Linked DNA regions of Pelodiscus sinensis. The protein of the gene in region 3 binds, or shares a complex with, the protein of the main gene of each other region. Links are inferred from orthologs where the notes say so. Each region holds a gene or a part of one and is shown on either strand. Other genes may lie near its edges.

The links. The genes of interacting proteins can lie anywhere in the genome.
Region 1: FBXL13 (region 3) and DRC9 share a complex: the UniProt entries of both Homo sapiens proteins name them as parts of the nexin-dynein regulatory complex. The link is inferred for Pelodiscus sinensis from reciprocal best matches to the Homo sapiens genes FBXL13 and DRC9.
Region 2: FBXL13 (region 3) and DRC5 share a complex: the UniProt entries of both Homo sapiens proteins name them as parts of the nexin-dynein regulatory complex. The link is inferred for Pelodiscus sinensis from reciprocal best matches to the Homo sapiens genes FBXL13 and DRC5.

The regions. Positions count from the first base shown.
Region 1 is NC_134720.1:50,766,984-50,772,364, reverse strand, and holds the start of DRC9 (dynein regulatory complex protein 9), read right to left. Parts: upstream 3,053-5,381; 5' UTR 2,715-3,052; exon of another isoform or gene 2,711-2,714; intron 2,211-2,710; exon of another isoform or gene 2,027-2,210; intron 1,801-2,026; 5' UTR 1,626-1,800; intron 1-1,625. UniProt on the Homo sapiens protein: Component of the nexin-dynein regulatory complex (N-DRC), a key regulator of ciliary/flagellar motility which maintains the alignment and integrity of the distal axoneme and regulates microtubule sliding in motile axonemes.
Region 2 is NC_134713.1:140,621,095-140,626,475, forward strand, and holds the start of DRC5 (dynein regulatory complex subunit 5), read right to left. Parts: upstream 3,737-5,381; 5' UTR 3,598-3,736; intron 3,567-3,597; exon of another isoform or gene 3,438-3,566; intron 3,169-3,437; exon of another isoform or gene 3,087-3,168; intron 1-3,086. UniProt on the Homo sapiens protein: Component of the nexin-dynein regulatory complex (N-DRC) a key regulator of ciliary/flagellar motility which maintains the alignment and integrity of the distal axoneme and regulates microtubule sliding in motile axonemes.
Region 3 is NC_134711.1:23,448,203-23,453,583, reverse strand, and holds the start of FBXL13 (F-box and leucine-rich repeat protein 13), read left to right. Parts: upstream 1-1,465; 5' UTR 1,466-1,761; coding exon 1,762-1,836; intron 1,837-5,381. UniProt on the Homo sapiens protein: Substrate-recognition component of the SCF (SKP1-CUL1-F-box protein)-type E3 ubiquitin ligase complex.

The DNA of each region.
Region 1 (5,381 bases), on a different chromosome or scaffold from region 3:
CTAGCAGAGTGCTCACATCTAGGTTTTTTCTTTCTACTGGTAGTGCACATTCACACATGCTTTGGAGCACAGAAAATTTATTTCACACATGGATGGAAAAAATCTGCACATGGATGAAATAAAATTAGAGGTAACATTGTACAAAATCATTAATAGCCCTACAAATGTTAGAAAGCAAGTTGCTGATTTAAAAAAAAACAACAAATACTGATAAATTAGAATAATTTGGCTTCTTGACTTTTTACGCGACTCACTGTAGATTCTGTTCTGAAGAAGAACATTTGTTTAGCCTCTAATTTCTAAAGGCTGAAGGGAATGAGAACCAAATGGAACTGAATGGGGGTGGGGAGGGAGCATGGAAGAACTCCTACGTGGAATTTAGCCTGCATAGTATAGGTGAAGACAGGGGCTTGGGGCATTACTGTCTGAGACACCAACCCCATTAGAAACTTGTGGGATTTTTCAGGTAAGACAGGTATCACATCCTTTGGCTATACAAAGAGGCACTTTGGATGCTTTCTGGTGCTATTATAAAAAGAATAATACCAAGATTTTTTTTCAGTACTAACTTTCCTGCTGCTTCCTCACTATAGAACCCTGTGAGAATAATCCAGAAGCAGCAGCTGGCCTGGAGTTCAATGACTGTAAAGCTCTTGCAGGGGTCATATTATGAGGGCACGCTAGTGCAAAGGCATGCATTTTCAGCAAAGTTGGATCTCACCACACTGGATCCTCTCCAAGATCCAATGGTGCTAGAGCCAAATCCACTGATGCTGACAAAATAAGGATTTGGCAAAGAGAGCAGCACTGCTTTTCATAGTCTCTCTGTGGGAACAGCCCAGTGAACATGACCGCCAAACCTGACCAAAAAGTCTACATCACATTTTCACCTTGCCTGAAACAGTTCCTCCGGTGCTTTTAAAAAAATGTCTAGATCTTGTTAGGTGCTAAAGGTGTTCAAATACTTTACTGCATCGGGCCCTGAGACTTTCCAGATTAAATCTGCAGCCTTCAGAAGTAAGGGGATTATCACAGAGGCAGTTAAATTTTTTAAAAGCATGTGAGCTACTTGGGAGTCTAAAACCTATTTTAAAGAGTGAATTAGTTACTTAGAAGCCCAAGTTTCAGCTAATGTCACTTTTGAAAATAGAGTTTAAGCTGCTAAGTCACTGAGGGCAAAAGTTGAATTAAGCTACGCAACTTGAGCTACAGCAATTGCATACATAATTCAGCTTTTGGCACTGTCTACGCAGCAGGAAATCTTCACTCTTCCTTTGACTTCTCTTAATTTTAAGCGTGATATGAAGGTTACAGGAATTGGAGTAAGAAATCCTCCAGCCTGACATTATTCCAAAGTAATGACTTGCAGTGTAGATGCCCTCTTTGTAATGCTGCTGTGTAGACATACCCTAAGGCACTTTTTAAAAATTTACCCTAATTCTCCAGTGGCCTTAGCTGCATGGACAGGCATCAGCAACAAGGCCCTGATTCTGCCAAGCAGTTAAGTGCATGCTTAGTGCACTCCTCTTCAGAAAATCACTTAAACATGTGTTTGTTCCAATGAAGCCCAAATCCTCAACCCAGGCCTAAATGAGGGATTAAAGGTAAATTTTAAAGTTACTTACTGTTACAGTGGCATGGAAGAAGCCACAGGGGCTGCCAGGTGCATAGAAAGATAGTCTTCTCCTAAGCACTCACCGCCCAAAAAATGGCCAAAATACAGCAGAAAGGTTGTGGGCACAACACCCAAGCAGAGTCCTCTTGGCGCACACAGAGCTTGTGTGATCACACTGGTTTGTACTAGGGATGTAACAGTGTAATTGATATAACCAGAAGCTTATAGGTTAATGCTAAAGACTATACGCAATTCCCCCCACCCTGCCAGTAAATTGTTTAGCAGGCTGGCCAGCAACCCAGCTCCGTCCTGCTCCAGGACCTTCCCCTGCTGCGACTCTGCATTTAAAGTGTGTTAGGCACCAGGCAGGCAAGCAGCCTGGCTCAGTTCCAGGAGCTCAGACGGCCTCACCCTAGACGGGGGTTGCTGCCACCCCGCACTGCTGCGTGTGTCAAGCAGGGGCAGCAGCAGTGACAGGCAGCCAGGGGAGATGACTTTTAAACTGGCTCCTCTCAGGGAACAGCTCCTACCTGGCGCCCTGTGCTGCTGCATCTGTATCCGAGGCAGCAGCATGGTGTGGGGGGGGGGGGGGGAGCTCCTTGGGAGTGGGGCCAGGGCGCACTGGCGGCCGGCCCCGCCCCCGGGGACTATCAAGAGGAGTAACCGGCTAGAAGTCAGGAGGCCACGTGACCCTTCGATGAACGGATCCTTCACGTCCCTACTTGGGGCCGTGGCCCCCCTCGCCACGGCCCCGGGCCACGGCCCCTTTCTCATGGCGGGTTGGGCTTTAACCCTCCCCGGGGGGGGGGCAGTCCTGTGGCCCCCGCCCGGGTGTGTCCCTCCCCCAGCCCCTGTGCGGGAGACAGGCGGCCCCCAGGGGCGCGCCACAGGAGGGGGGGCAGGGCTGGGCCCCTGATGCTCCCTTCACGGGGGGGGGGGGCAATGGGACACCTCTCCCCAAGGGGCTTTGCCCTGCTCCCTAGCTGCGCTCGGACCCAGGGCCCCCCGCTATCCACCGGGGGGGGCGCACTGGGCAGGTCGCTCCCTCCCCCCCCCCCCCCCGGGTCTATTATCAGTGACACTGAGGGGACTCACGCACAGGCCGCAGGCCGGACAGAGCTGGTCTCCATGGCAACTACCAAGCTCAAGGGGGACCTTCCAGTCACACTGCCTACGTGGGTGCCTGTCGGGCACAACCCCTGAACCACGACCTCGCAGGGGAGGTGCCCACACAAAGGGCGCGGGGGACAGAGAGGGAGGGTGGGGCCGCGGCTGGGTTTTATTCACCCGTCCGCGGGCGCGTTTTCTACTCAGGCAGTCATTGCGGGCGACCCAAGGGCCCTTGCGATGCCATATCCCGGCATGCTTGGTGGCCGCTCTCCCTTTCGCCGCCATCTTGGGTCGGAGCCGCGGGGGTGAGTCCGGGGAGCGGAGGTCCCGAGGTGGGTTCAGGGGGGTTCTCCCGTCGCCGTGGGGCGGGGCAGGTGCGGCGGGGCCCGGGCTGCGCAGGGGGCGCGTGTGGCGGGGGCAGGCGGCGGGATGGCGCCGATGCGCGGCGGATGGTGCTAGGCCCCGGCCTGAGCCGGCTCCCACAGCCCCACGGGGTCCCTGGCTCTTCAGCCCCCGGGGTGGGGGGGCCCGGCCTGGCGAACGTAGCCCGGCCCGTGCCGAGCTGGGCTCCCCCGTTGCCGGCCGGGGTTAGCGGGGAGCACCGGAGGCTGCGGCCCTGTGGAGGCTGCGGGTCCCCCGGCGACGTGCCGGGCGCTGCGGAGGGGGGGCAGGGCCTGCTGCGGCCGTGGGGTGCCCGGCTCCCTAGTGCGGCGGCTGAAATCTTCGTGCTTCTCTCTCAGGCCTGCTGGGAGCAGGACTTCAGGACGACGCCATGTCTGGGAGGTGAGCGACGGGCTCTGAACACTTCCTTGGTCCTTTGCTGTCATGTTGGCCGGGGATCGCAAATCCTCTCCTCGGCTCCTGCAGAGTGGGCTGCCTTAAGTAGAGCCGGGTGTTCACCCTCTGTTGTGATGTACTTGGCACTGATTGCTATTCCCATCCCAAAGATCTGTCCCCTATAAAATCTTGTTATGCTGCACAGTTGTGTTCGGATCAGTATGTTGTGGGACAGTCTAAATTCCTACTATCCCATGCTGCCACACATGGTTAACCAGCCCTTTCTGTCAAGAGTTGGTAGAAGTTGGCTGCCATCTAATGATAGCTACAATTGCAAGTTACTTGTTCGTGGATGCAGACTGCATATGCAATCAATTGCATTACAGTTTGGTTATGGATAGGACAGTTTCAGATTCATGGTCAATTTTATTGTCATGGGATTTTAAAAAGCATGAACTTCATGATGTAATGTACTTAAATTTTACAGTGCTGGAATAGTTGAGTTCCTTCATGACCCAAAAAGGGGTTGTGCACTAGGGGTGTGAAAGTGTAACTGTGTACATTGTTAACCAATGAGCCCATGCTCATTGGTTACTGTGCACGGTTACATGCAACCCTCTCTCCTCACCTTCGCTGCTGCTTCTGTATCAGAGGCAGCAGCAGAGTGGAGAGGGAACAGGTGAAGCTCGCCAACTCCCCATGTACACCAGCTGCAGAAAAGCCACCTGCCCCATCCCCTGCTATGTAACCACTGGAAATTTCAGCAGTTACACATTCATTTGAGTAATCCCTATTGTGGACTAAGATCTGTGTAAGCTGTGTGGCTGTGCAGCTTGCCCAGCTAGGCTCTGCAGGAGCTCAAGTAATCTAGCCAAGGTGGGGACCTGCTAGCCAGAGGAGAACTTTCCCTTCCAGCCTCGGGAGACGCAGCCCAAATGCAGCCAGTGTCCCTGCCCCAGATCACCCCTTCCTTTCCTTCGAACTGGAAAGGCTAGGCCCAGACTCAGCCACTGCACCAAGATCTGCTATGGCTGGAGCAGCCCTTCCCCTAGGCCCAGCTCAGTCTCTGCTGTAACCTGCCACAAGAGTGGTGCCTATCTTGTAGCCCTGCAGCTGCCACAGCCAAAAGAAGTGACACACACTCTTCCCTTCCCCCCCCCCAGCACAGGTGCTGCTGCTAGGAGAGAGAGATGGGGGGGGGGGGGTGTCCCCTTGTCTCTCAGTAGCCTGGTAGCACCGTCCTTTATTCCAGAAACTTGCCTCCCCCCAGAGCCCACACTCCCTGCTGGAGCCCTAATACTCTTGCAGCCCAATTCTGTCTCAGCCTTGGCCCACCTTGGAGCCTGCATCCCAGCCAGATCCCTTGCTCCCCAGACCACTGTCCCAGTCCTAAGCTCTGACCCACCCTAAAGCCCTGACAGTCCTGCACCCTAGGCCTGAGCCCCTTCCCACACTCAGAACTACTTCTGTCCATCCCTGCCACATGAATTTTTTTCACACATCAGCTCCATATTGGTGCACGTAAGAAAATTCATTTTTCCTCAGGGATGAAAAAAACTAGAGGGAACATGAATGGGGGTGTGGGTAAAGGCACAGGGTTATTGTAGCGGGCATTGCGGTGGTGCTTACCCTATTGTGCTACTGCTGGTGAAGACTCTGCCTTCAAAGCTGGCCAGCTAGAGAGTGGCTGCGAGCCAGAAGCCCAGCTCTGAAGGGAGAGCTATCACCAGCCACAACTCAGAAGTAAGGACGGCATGGTTGGTATTGCTGTCCTTACTTCTGCACTGCTGCCTGCAGAGCTGGTCCCTCAGTCAGTAAATACCACTTTCCAGCTGCCCAGCTTTGAGGGCAGCAATGCAGAAGTAAAGGTGGTATGGTA
Region 2 (5,381 bases), on a different chromosome or scaffold from region 3:
TCTGTGCCTGATCCAGTGACATTGAAGTAAATGTAATGAATCCCATTGACTTCACAGGATCTCTGATAGCAATAAGCCAGTCCAAAAAATGGATTAAGCATAAAGCCCTGGTAGCATTAGAACTCATAAATGTATCTGAATATATTTCAAGGACAGGTATAGTCCAACAGTTTGCAGCCGCAGCTAGACCCTGTCCAGAATTGTAGTGAGTTTCCTCACCATTGCTCTAGCATTGTAAAAACACTGGCTGAGCTGCAGGTGTTTTTACTAACAAATTATCTAGGTCTGCTCTGAGCAGGACAGGATGACAGTAGTAAATACAACTGACCTCTGCTTAGCATTCTTACCACTGCTACCACCAGTGAAGCTCCACCAGTGGTGAATTATGCTAGCTGTAGTAAGATGAGAGTCTGAAACATAAGCCCACATATGAGGCCTGAGGCCTAGACAGCAATGGTCAAGACTTTGCTAATATAAAGCAAAGTTAAGCTGTGAGCAAGAAGCAGGCCCTGCTCACAGAAATTGGCAAGAACAGGGCTATTACAGAAACACTCATACTTCAGAGATACTAGGCACAGGCTGAAAGCACATTCCAGAGGGGTCATAACAGAACACCTCATTTAAAAAATCTTGGTACCAGCACATACCCCACAAATAACATACATACTGTCCCAGATTCAGGATCAGGTCTAAATTGACAGCATGATGGATAGTAATGGAACCCCCCCCCCTTCTGTGACGTAAGGGGAGGTAACTAGCTAACAGAGGGTGGCAACCTGATACATCAGGAGTGATGTGTAACTTGATGTGCTATTTATCTCTCTCCACTGTGTAACTTGATGTGTAACTTGTTTGTTTGGTATTTGTTTGTACAAAACAAGTGGTCAGCTGACCACACGGGACAGGGCACATTAGAATCCAGAGAGTTTAGTTGGGTGTTAGTCGATTGTCATGGTGTACATATGTATAGTGGCGCAGCGGTGAGTCCATTCGCTGACAACTATTTTGTACCTTGCTTGACAATAAACCTACTCAGGTGCTTTTTATCTTTATCTGATTTGTGGTCTCTGGGGGCTCTCTCAGAGTTTGTCATATTGATTAATTGTGCATGATTAATGCATTAGACAAGGGGGCACACGCATGTACACAGCCAAAAGTTTATCATCATTGATGGATTAGAGGACCTGTCAGGAACCCATCAGGATGACTCTGCCTGACTGAGGACATGAGCCATTTTTGCCAATGTATGTTACATTTGTATTAAGCAGCTACGTTGTTGACTTCTGTAAGGATAATGTGTCTCTTGATTTTTAAACACTCACATGCATGCCCATATATACCAGGCACAAAAACTGTGCTAGCTATGATCATGTTGGAGAATAGTTGTCAAGTTCAGATCTGGCAGAACTAGCTTTGCCATCCATTTGCTAACATGGCTATTTATGTCAACAGTACTATGAACTATGCTACAGACAAAATTATCCTGTCTTCTATATTGCCTTTCATTTAGACTGCTCTGAGTCATCACCAACATATCACACACTCCTCAGTGATGGGGATAATTGTATTTCTGAAGTAACACCTCAAGAAAGTTAACCACTACTTGTGACAACACTTGCCAATCAGCAGTGGCTGGCATTGTCTTGCCAATATTTGAATGGGAATTTTATGCGGCCGTAACTGTGGGAAAGGTGATATCCAAAATGGGAATACTCAGATGTATGGAGTCAAAAGAGAGGTAAAGAGAATATCCAACCCATTTCCAAAAACACCAGTGCTTGCTCAACCAAGCCAAGTCTAGCTCTAGCAACATCCTGAACTAGAAGAGACTTTATCCTTTCTTCTCTTCATCAAGTTGATCTCTTAGAACCCCAGTAAAAAATTAATTGGTCACTTAATTTTAATAATTAATTAAAATAATACTTTGCTCCTCTTTAGCTCCTTCCATTCAAGGATTTCAATGTACAGGTACTTCACAGTCAGTTAATTTAATCCCCCATTTAGGTAGGCAAAATAATTTCTTGATTTTACATGGGGTAGAGATGGGAAGTGACTTCCAAGAGTTATACAAGAATTTAGAACTCATTTCTAAATTCCCTGGCCTTTGCTTTAACAAACCAGAACATGATTCCTTCTCCTCACTAATGACTTTCTGGCATTTCTTTCTATACTGTAAAAGTCAGGATCCTTAAAGGTGAAATGAAGGGCTTTCTATCCACCAAGATCTGACTTTAGCCCTTCAGTTCTGTTGCTCTATAACTGCAGATACTGTTACTAACATCAGAAGCTGAAAAATGCTACTTTAGGAGTTAGTGATATCATCAGTTCCAACAGAGGAAAAAAGACACTCAGGGACTCAATGCAGATTTTGGCAAGTAAGCAAAGGCAGAAATGATTTTTAAACCAAGTGATTTTAAAAACTATTCTCCTTTACTAAATTCTTACAGTGAGCCATCTGCATGGTATTAAGAGTTGCAATTTACAACAGAATCCCACTAATTTGTACTAATTACTAGGGATGTAAAAAATCGTTTAAAAATGTAACTGTATAACCACTAAAAATCCTAGCAGTTACATGGTTACACACCCTGCAGGCTCTGCAGTATAGCTTTTATACTGCAGGGTAGGGTGAAGCTGGCTCCCCAGGAGCAGGACCAGCCGGGGCTGCTGACCCTGCTCTAAGGGAGGCTTGGCTGCAGGTTATGTGGTGACTGCCAGCTCCCTTTGCTGCAGGCTCTGCAGTATAACTTTTATACTGCAGAGCCCGTAAAAAATCTGGCTCCCTGGGAGCGGGGCCAGCAGCCCCTGCCCGTCCCACTTCCAGGGAGCCAGCATGTAACTTGTAACACAAACTGATATGCTGGTGCTTATCAGTTAACCCTTTAAATAGTTGCACTTTTTTACATCCCCACTAATGTCAGGAAGGTCCAGGCCTGGTTAGTAAATGTTGCAAATTAAAGAGTAGACAAACACAATGTAAAGACACCATACTTAAAGAAAGCATAAGTTAGTACTGGTTACTAAGGGTAACATGCAAGTAGGCTGTTGTATATTTTGTAAAAGAAATGAAGTCTTAATAAATACACCTCTCTGCAGCACAGCCTCTTCCAGGGGACAGTCGCTGAAAGTTGAGATGAGAGCAGTTGCTGTGTCTTTAAATGACAAGTGCTGAGTTTGTGAAGTAACAGAATGGCAAGGTTATAACGGATCTTATAAGCATCTGGCAGTGAGCTCCAGACAAAGGCAGGCAAGTCCCTGTCCCAGGAGCTGGCAACTCAAAGCCCCCGGATTTCCCTAATAAGTGAGTGTAGAACCCAGGACAGGAGAAGAAACTCAAGTTTCCCCTGCAAGGGGCTGTTCAGCTGGCTGAGAGGGAGAGTGGGAGCGGGGAGAGGGCCAGGCAGCCCCAAGCGTCCCTGGTTCCCCTCAAGACGCACCTGGGCTTCAGGGAATTCACTCCAGGCAGAGGCGTTGCGCCCGCGCACCCATCCGAGGGCCCCTGCCCAACTCTAGCTCCTGGGACGCGGGGCAGAATAAGCTACAGACGCTGCCCGTCTCTCCCCGCCCCCTCCCTCCCCGCCAGCCCCAGCCCCTCACCGTCTCCCGCGGGCGCCACCTCCCGCTGCCCCGCCCGGTCCGGCAGGCAGGCCCCGGCCGCGGTTGCTAAGGAAGCGGCCCGTTGTCAAGAGCGGGGCGGGGGAGGGATGCCGAGGCCGGAAGCGAGTCGGTGCCGCAGTGCTGGGAAGGGGGGGGGGCTTATGGTGCGACAGGTGACAGAGCCGCCCCCACCCGTGTCCCGGCCCGGCCCAGCACCGGGCACGGGTCTGCTCAGCGGCTGCGCGGGCGGCGGCACAGCCTAGCTCGGCCCTCCGCTGTATCCACAGGCCCGCCGGGCTTGCAGCGTCCCGGGACAGAGCAATGCAGCCCCTCGTGTGGCTCCCTGCATAGGTGTCCACTGAGTATTATTTATAGGGTTGTCACCTCTGAGGCTACAAAAAACTGGGACATGAGCTGATCCTGTCCCCCATACACTGGTCAACAGCCAGCGCCTGGGAGTTCCCTGGCATTCTTCCTGGGACAACTACCTTCAAAAAGGGAAGATCCTAGGAAAACCTGGAGCAGGGGCAACCCAAAGGCTACGTCTAGACTGGCATGATTTTCCGGAAATGCTTTTAACGGAAAAGTTTTCCGTTAAAAGCATTTTTGGAACAGAGTGTCTAGATTGGCACGGACGCTTTTCCGCAATAGCACTTTTTGCGGAAAAGTGTCCGTGGCCAATCTAGACAGGCTTTTTTGCAAAAGAGCCCCGATCACCATTTTTGCGATCGGGGCTTTTTTGTGGAAAACAAATCTGAGCTGTCTACACTGGCCCTTTTGCACAAAAGGGACTTTTGTCTGAATGGGAGCAGCATTGTATTTCCGCAAGAAGCACTGATTTCTTACAGTAGGAAATCAGTGCTTTTGCGGAAATTCAAGCAGCCAGTGCAGACAGTTGGCAAGTTTTTCCGGAAAAGCGGCTGATTTTCCGGAAAAACTGGCCAGTCTAGACACAGCTAAATAGTATAGCTCTGCCCATTCAGGAAGGGGAATAAACTTCACTAGTATAAGGCACCTTTATATTAAGATAACAGTGTTCACACTAGACACAGGTATCACAATAAAAGAAGTAGTCTAGTAGCATCTTCAAGACCAACAAAACATGTAGATGGTATCATGAGCTTTCCTGAGCAAAACCCACTTCTTCAGATGACCGGAGTGCAATAAGTCCAGATCCAAGATTAAATGAGGGAAGGAGGGAGAAGGAAAAAGGGGAGGAAAGGAAGAAAAAGAGACAGCGAGTAGATAGTGCAAATAGTTACCAGAAGCTGTTAGGAACCATTAGAACCGCCATTGTTTGGTTGGTTGTTTAAGACGTTAAAAGGTTGAAGATAGTGTGCGAGCCATCCTATATCCCAGTTCAGACCATTAGCATAAGAATTAAACTCCTGCATGAAGTTAAGTCCCAATCCTTCTCTGTGTATTTGGCTTGTGGAATTGGTCTGAAACAAAACAGTGACTTGGAGATCTATTAATGAATGTCCAGGAAGATTAAAGTGTTCTCCAACAGGTTTTTGTGTGTTGCCTTTTTGGATATCTGATTTGCATCCATTAATTCTTTCCCGTAGAGACTGTCCAGTTTGGCCAATGTACAATTGCAAATACTTTCCAGCAGCCATCCACAACATCTCAGCTACACTCATCCAGGAACCCACCCCTACAACAAACTTCATTGCCAAGTCTGTCCACGTATCTATACAAGCGACACCATCACAGGACCTAACCACAAAGCCACAACATCAGGGGCTCATACAACTGCACATCCTCTAATGTGATATATGCCA
Region 3 (5,381 bases):
TCGATCTCGAAGCAGTGCTCCCAGCCCCATTTCATTCCCCCCACCTGCAACGAGGAGCCTGCACGGTGCTACAGCCTCCTGCCCCTTGCAAAATTGGAGCCAGAGCTGGCTTCCTGGGGCGGGGAGAAGGGGGAAGGGAGGCGAATCCCAAGGCTCTGTGACAGAGCCAGCTTCTTAGGAAGTACATGTGTGCTGCTCCTCCCCTCCCCGTAGCAGCACCCACACTTTCTTATCTTCCCTTCATTCCCCCATAATTTGGGGAAGCAGAGTGGGAGGGGAAAGAGGGGGTTAAGATGGAGGCCGAGGATCATACGTGAAGGAGCTGGATTTCTTAAAGGAGCCACAGGTACGCCTCTTCTAGCACTGCCTGAAGATCCTGCCCAAGAGATACTCGTCCCTGGAGACCCCCAGGTACCAGCTGAGCTACTCCTGCCCCCTCTCTCCTGGCTAGAGACCCACCAGCACCCTGCTCCTGCCTCCCCCCCGACCAGACACCCACCAGCACCCCACTCCTGCCCCCTGTCCAAACCCCCGCCAGCACCCTGTTCCTGCCCCCTCCCTCCTGGCCAGACACCTACCTCAAGCTTGTTCCTGCCCCCTACTTCCCACCCAGATTCTGCACCCCCATCCCTATCCCACTGATAGGCAGCTCTATCCCACACATTGGACCCCTCATTTTTATCCCCACCCCAGAGCCTAGGGGGAACCAAAAAATCCACTAATCCTGGAACCCCAGAAGAGTTAATCTGGCCTGAGGCCTTGAACCTCAGACCTACCTTCTCTCCTCCCTCCCCACATGGGGCTGGATGCCAGGGGAGTGAGGTGTCTCAGTTGGGGCTACATCAGTGAGGTTGAGGGTTTTTGGAGGCGTTGTTTTTTTGCATCTCACTTGTACGGTCCCTGCTTTTTCTCTGGGTCACTGGCCTACCCCGACCCAAAAAGGTTCCCCTCCCTTCCCATAAATAAAGACAATGTTGAAACCTTTTGTGTTGGACATATTTTATTTAAAAATGAAGCCTGGCCAACAATCTCCTATCTGGCCACAGCATCACAACATCATAGCACCCCTCCCACACACCAACCCTGAGCCCCTCATACACCTCCTCTGCCCTGAGCCTCTCATACACCCCAACCCAAACTCCTGCACCCCACATCCACAAGCCAGTGGCTGGCTCAGCACCTCAACCCTCCACCTGACCCCAACACTCTCCAGCCTGGATCCCCCTCCCTGAGCCAGCATCCCCTTCTCCACCTCCTCCTGCACCTAATTTCCCTCCAAGAGCTTGCACCTCTCACCCCTTCTCACACCCAAATCCCTCATTCCCACCCCAGAGCCCGCACCTCCTGTCTCAATCCAATGAGAGTGAGCAAGGGCTGTGGCCAGCAAGTGATAAAGGAGGGGGAACAGAGAGGGCGGGGACTCGAGGAAGGGGGGGGCTCTTGGGGTAGATCTTGGCTTGCCCTAACAGTTAAAACGTGATCTTGGGTGCAAAAAGGTTGGAGGCCAGGGCAATAGGTGCAGCAGGGGCTGGTGGGCAGGGCAGTACAGAGTTGGAGGGGGCTGCGTGGAACTTGGGGGGTGAGGCGGTGCAGGGGGTGGTGCAAAGTTGGGATGGGACGGCACGCGACACTCCCCTCCCCCAAAGCCCCTCCGCACTCTGAGCTGAGGCGCCCAATGAGGGCGAGCGGCTTGTGGCCTCGGGTTGCTAGGCGACTGGGAGCGCCGCGCTGGGTCTGAAGCGCCAGAGGCCCGGCTCCGCCATGTCCTCCCTGCGCGACGCGGACCCCGGACTCAGGGCTTATTTCAAGCGCCACAGCCTCCTCGACGTCTACGAGGTAAAAGGCCCCGCCTGGGCGCACCAGCTCCCGGCTGAGCTGCGGGCGGAGGGAGCCGGGCTCGCAACGGCGCTGCGACCCACGCGGGGCTGAGTCCGTGTTAGCACCAACCCCCCCCCCCCCCCCCCCAGCCCGGCCCAGGGTGTGACTGACGCCTGGGCGCCACCTCCCTGAGTGTGCGGCTTGCGGCGTGGGCGGGAAGAGACGAGCTCGCCTGTGAGCCCTGGAACAGTAAGTTCCCGCCACGAGCGCAAGCCCAGGCGCGGCTGGCCCCTTTTCACCTCCCCCAAGCTGCCATGCTGGGCCCGCTAAGTCAGTGGGATCTCTTGCTGTTCCGCCCATTGACTTCAGTGGGTCTAGTGCGCCCGTATAATTACCTCGGCGGGAGGGGATGATTCTTTATAGCTAGTCTGGTTGAAAAACACGCTCAAGAACAGCAATTCTTACACATTCCACAAATCTCTGTGGACGAGGCCTATTCGTCTTGTAGAATAGTGATAGAAATGTAGCCGTGTTAGTCTGGGGTAGTTGAAGCAAAATGCAGGACAATGTAGCACTTTAAAGACTAACAAGATGGTTTATTAGATGATGAGCTTTCGTGGGCCAGACCCACTTCCTCAGATCAAATAGTGGAAGAAAGTAGTCACAACCATATATACCAAAGGATACAATTAAAAAAAAAGAACAAATATGAAAAGGACAAATCACATTGCAGGACAGGAGGGGGATTCGGGGGGGGGGGGGAGGAAGGAAGGCAAGTGTCTGTGAATTGATGATATTAGAGGTAGGGAGAGTGGGATGTTTGTGAGTTAATGGTATTACAGGTGATAATTGGGGAAACTGTCTTGGTAATGGGTGAGATAGTTCAAATGTTTGTTAAGTCCTTGTTGGCAAGTGTCGAATTTTAACATGAATGACAGTTCAGAGGATTCCCTTTCAAGTGCAGATGTAAAAGGTCTTTGTAGCAGAATGCAGGTGGTTAAGTCATTGAGAGAGTGTCCTTTCTGGTTAAAATGGCAAGAAACTGTTTTCTCTTTGTGATCTTGTCTGATATCTGTTTTGTGGGCATTAATCCTTTGGCGAAGTGTCTGAGATGTTTGTCCAATGTACATAGCAGACGGACACTTTCGGCACATGATAGCATAGATTATATTTCTGGATGCGCAGGAATATGTGTTCTTGATCTTATAACTCACTTGGTTAGGTCCAATAATGGTATCAGCAGAATGAATATGTGGACAAAGCTGGCAACGGGGTTTGTTGCAAGGGAAGGTACCAGGGTTGGTATTAGTGTGGTATGTCCTGTGGTGGTTGGTAAGAATCCTCTTGAGGTTAGGTGGTTGTCTATAGGAGACTATGGGTCTGTCTCCCAGAGCCTCTTTGAGTATGGTATCCTGTTCTATTAGTCTTGTGTTTGACTATCTCGGTTTTCTGTCCCATGCCAGAGGGTGCTTGTGGCTTCTTGTACAGTGGTTCATTGATGGAAAGGCATAAGCGTTTCTGCTGCTCCTTCCCTCTGTCCCCTAAAGCAGAGGTTTTAAATCTTGTACCTTCTTGGGCTTGTCCTCCACAGGCCACACCCAACATGCATACTATAGAACCTCCACAATAGGGATGTACCCGGTTAACCAGCAAGCATCAGTCTTATGTGTGATGCTTTTTGGTAACCGGTTAACCAGCGGCCTGGCCTGGCTGGAGCAGCTTCACAGCCCCTGTACACTAGGCTTGGCCCAACCAGAGCAGCCCTCTGCCTGTGGTGCGGTGTGGACCTGACCTGGCCAGAACAGTCCATGGTGCAGGGCGCTCAGATGTGTTGGAGCAACCCTCTGTCTGGGTCTACTGTGACACAGGTAGGGGGCCACTCCTGCCTGGGCAGGCCCCCTACCGTGGGATCCCAGTTATCTCGTTAAACATGTTTATCTGATTAACTTTATATGGGATTTTATATCCCTATTCCCTACTTGGCTCTGTGTGACTCCCTGGAAACAGCAACATGTTCTTGCAGCCATGAGGTAGAAGCATGGCAGGGGATGGGGACGGACGGACTGTATGCTGCACCTTGCTCCAAGCCTCAGTACCATAGTACGGTTGTAGGAGTATAATTTAGAGCTGTCAATTGACCTGTGTTAATGCCTGCGGTTACCACAGGACAGGTTTAACGCGTTAAAAAAATTAAAGCGTTAATCGCAGACGTTAATGCTGCACTGCCTCTTCAAAGGAGCAGCGCAAGCAGAGCTGGGGAATCCGCTGGCGTACCTAATGCACTGCCCCTTTAAAGCCTTGTGCTGCCCTTTTGAAATGCCATGGTGGCGCTTCCAAGGAGCAGTACTGCATGGAGCCCAGGGTCAGCTGGGAACTTCAGCTGATCCTGGGCTCCATGCAGCGCTGCCTCGTTGAAACACCGCCAGGGTGTTTCAAAGGGGAATTGCACATGATTAATTATGCGATTAATTGCTATTACATTTTTTAATCACGTGATTAAAAAAAACCTTTTGCGCAAGATCATTATACTTCAAAAAAGGAGGTATAAGGAACTTGTGCAAAAGGGGCTTTTTTGCAAAAAACGGACCTTCTACACTGCTTGTTTTTGTGCAAAAGCCTCTTGCGCAAAAAGCATCAGTAGAGAATATGCAAATGACAGCGCGACACATGCTAGTGAGTGCTTCATTAACATGCTCTCTGCCAGCAAAAGCCTGCAGTGTAGACATAGCCTCAGGGAGCCAGCTTTTAAGCCAGCTTCCTGCATGTGCTGACTCCTGCAGAGCTGCCTGCTGCCCCCCATGCTGCCTCCCACAGAGTCAGCAGCATGGGGTGACTAGAGCCAGTGCTCCGGGGGGCTGGGAGGGAGACGCTGTCTTAAAAAACGTCTCCCTGTGGGCATCGGCTTTCGTGGAGTCGCTTCCCCCCCCCTTGCTGCCTCTATCACATAGAGGCAGCAGGGGGCAGGGGAGAAGGGAGTACTTTAAAGTGGCAGTGTATTGCAGGGAGCCCGGGCTCCATGCGGCGCTGCCGCTTTGAAATGCCATGGCGGTGTTTCAAAGGGGCAGCACCACACAGCTGATTCCAGGCTCAGTGCGGTGCTGCCACTTTGAAACGCTGAAGCGGCATTTCAAAGGGGCAGCACTGCAGGGAGCCCAGGGTCAGCTGGAGTCCTCTACTGACTAATCGAAAAGTTGGTGCAAAAATGCATCAACTATTCGATTAGCAAAATACCCGATACTTAACATCCTTAATGCATGTCACCTCTCTGAGCACTGGGAGCCAGGATCTAGCCCTGACTGGAGGTTAAGTTAGTACATCTATGTTGTTCCAGGTATGAATTTTTCACACTACTGAGTCACATAGGTGTTTCAGTTTGAATTATAAGCATGAGCCAGGCTTGGGATCGATTTGTTCTTTCCTAATTTTTGTCTGATGTATAAAACTTAAGTTTAGGTGGAACTTTCAGTTTGTGGAACTGTAAGCTAAACAACAGATTTTCCAGATTGTTGAATAGATAGAGTTTGTGTAAGAATTAGTCTGACTATTTGATATTATCTTGATTT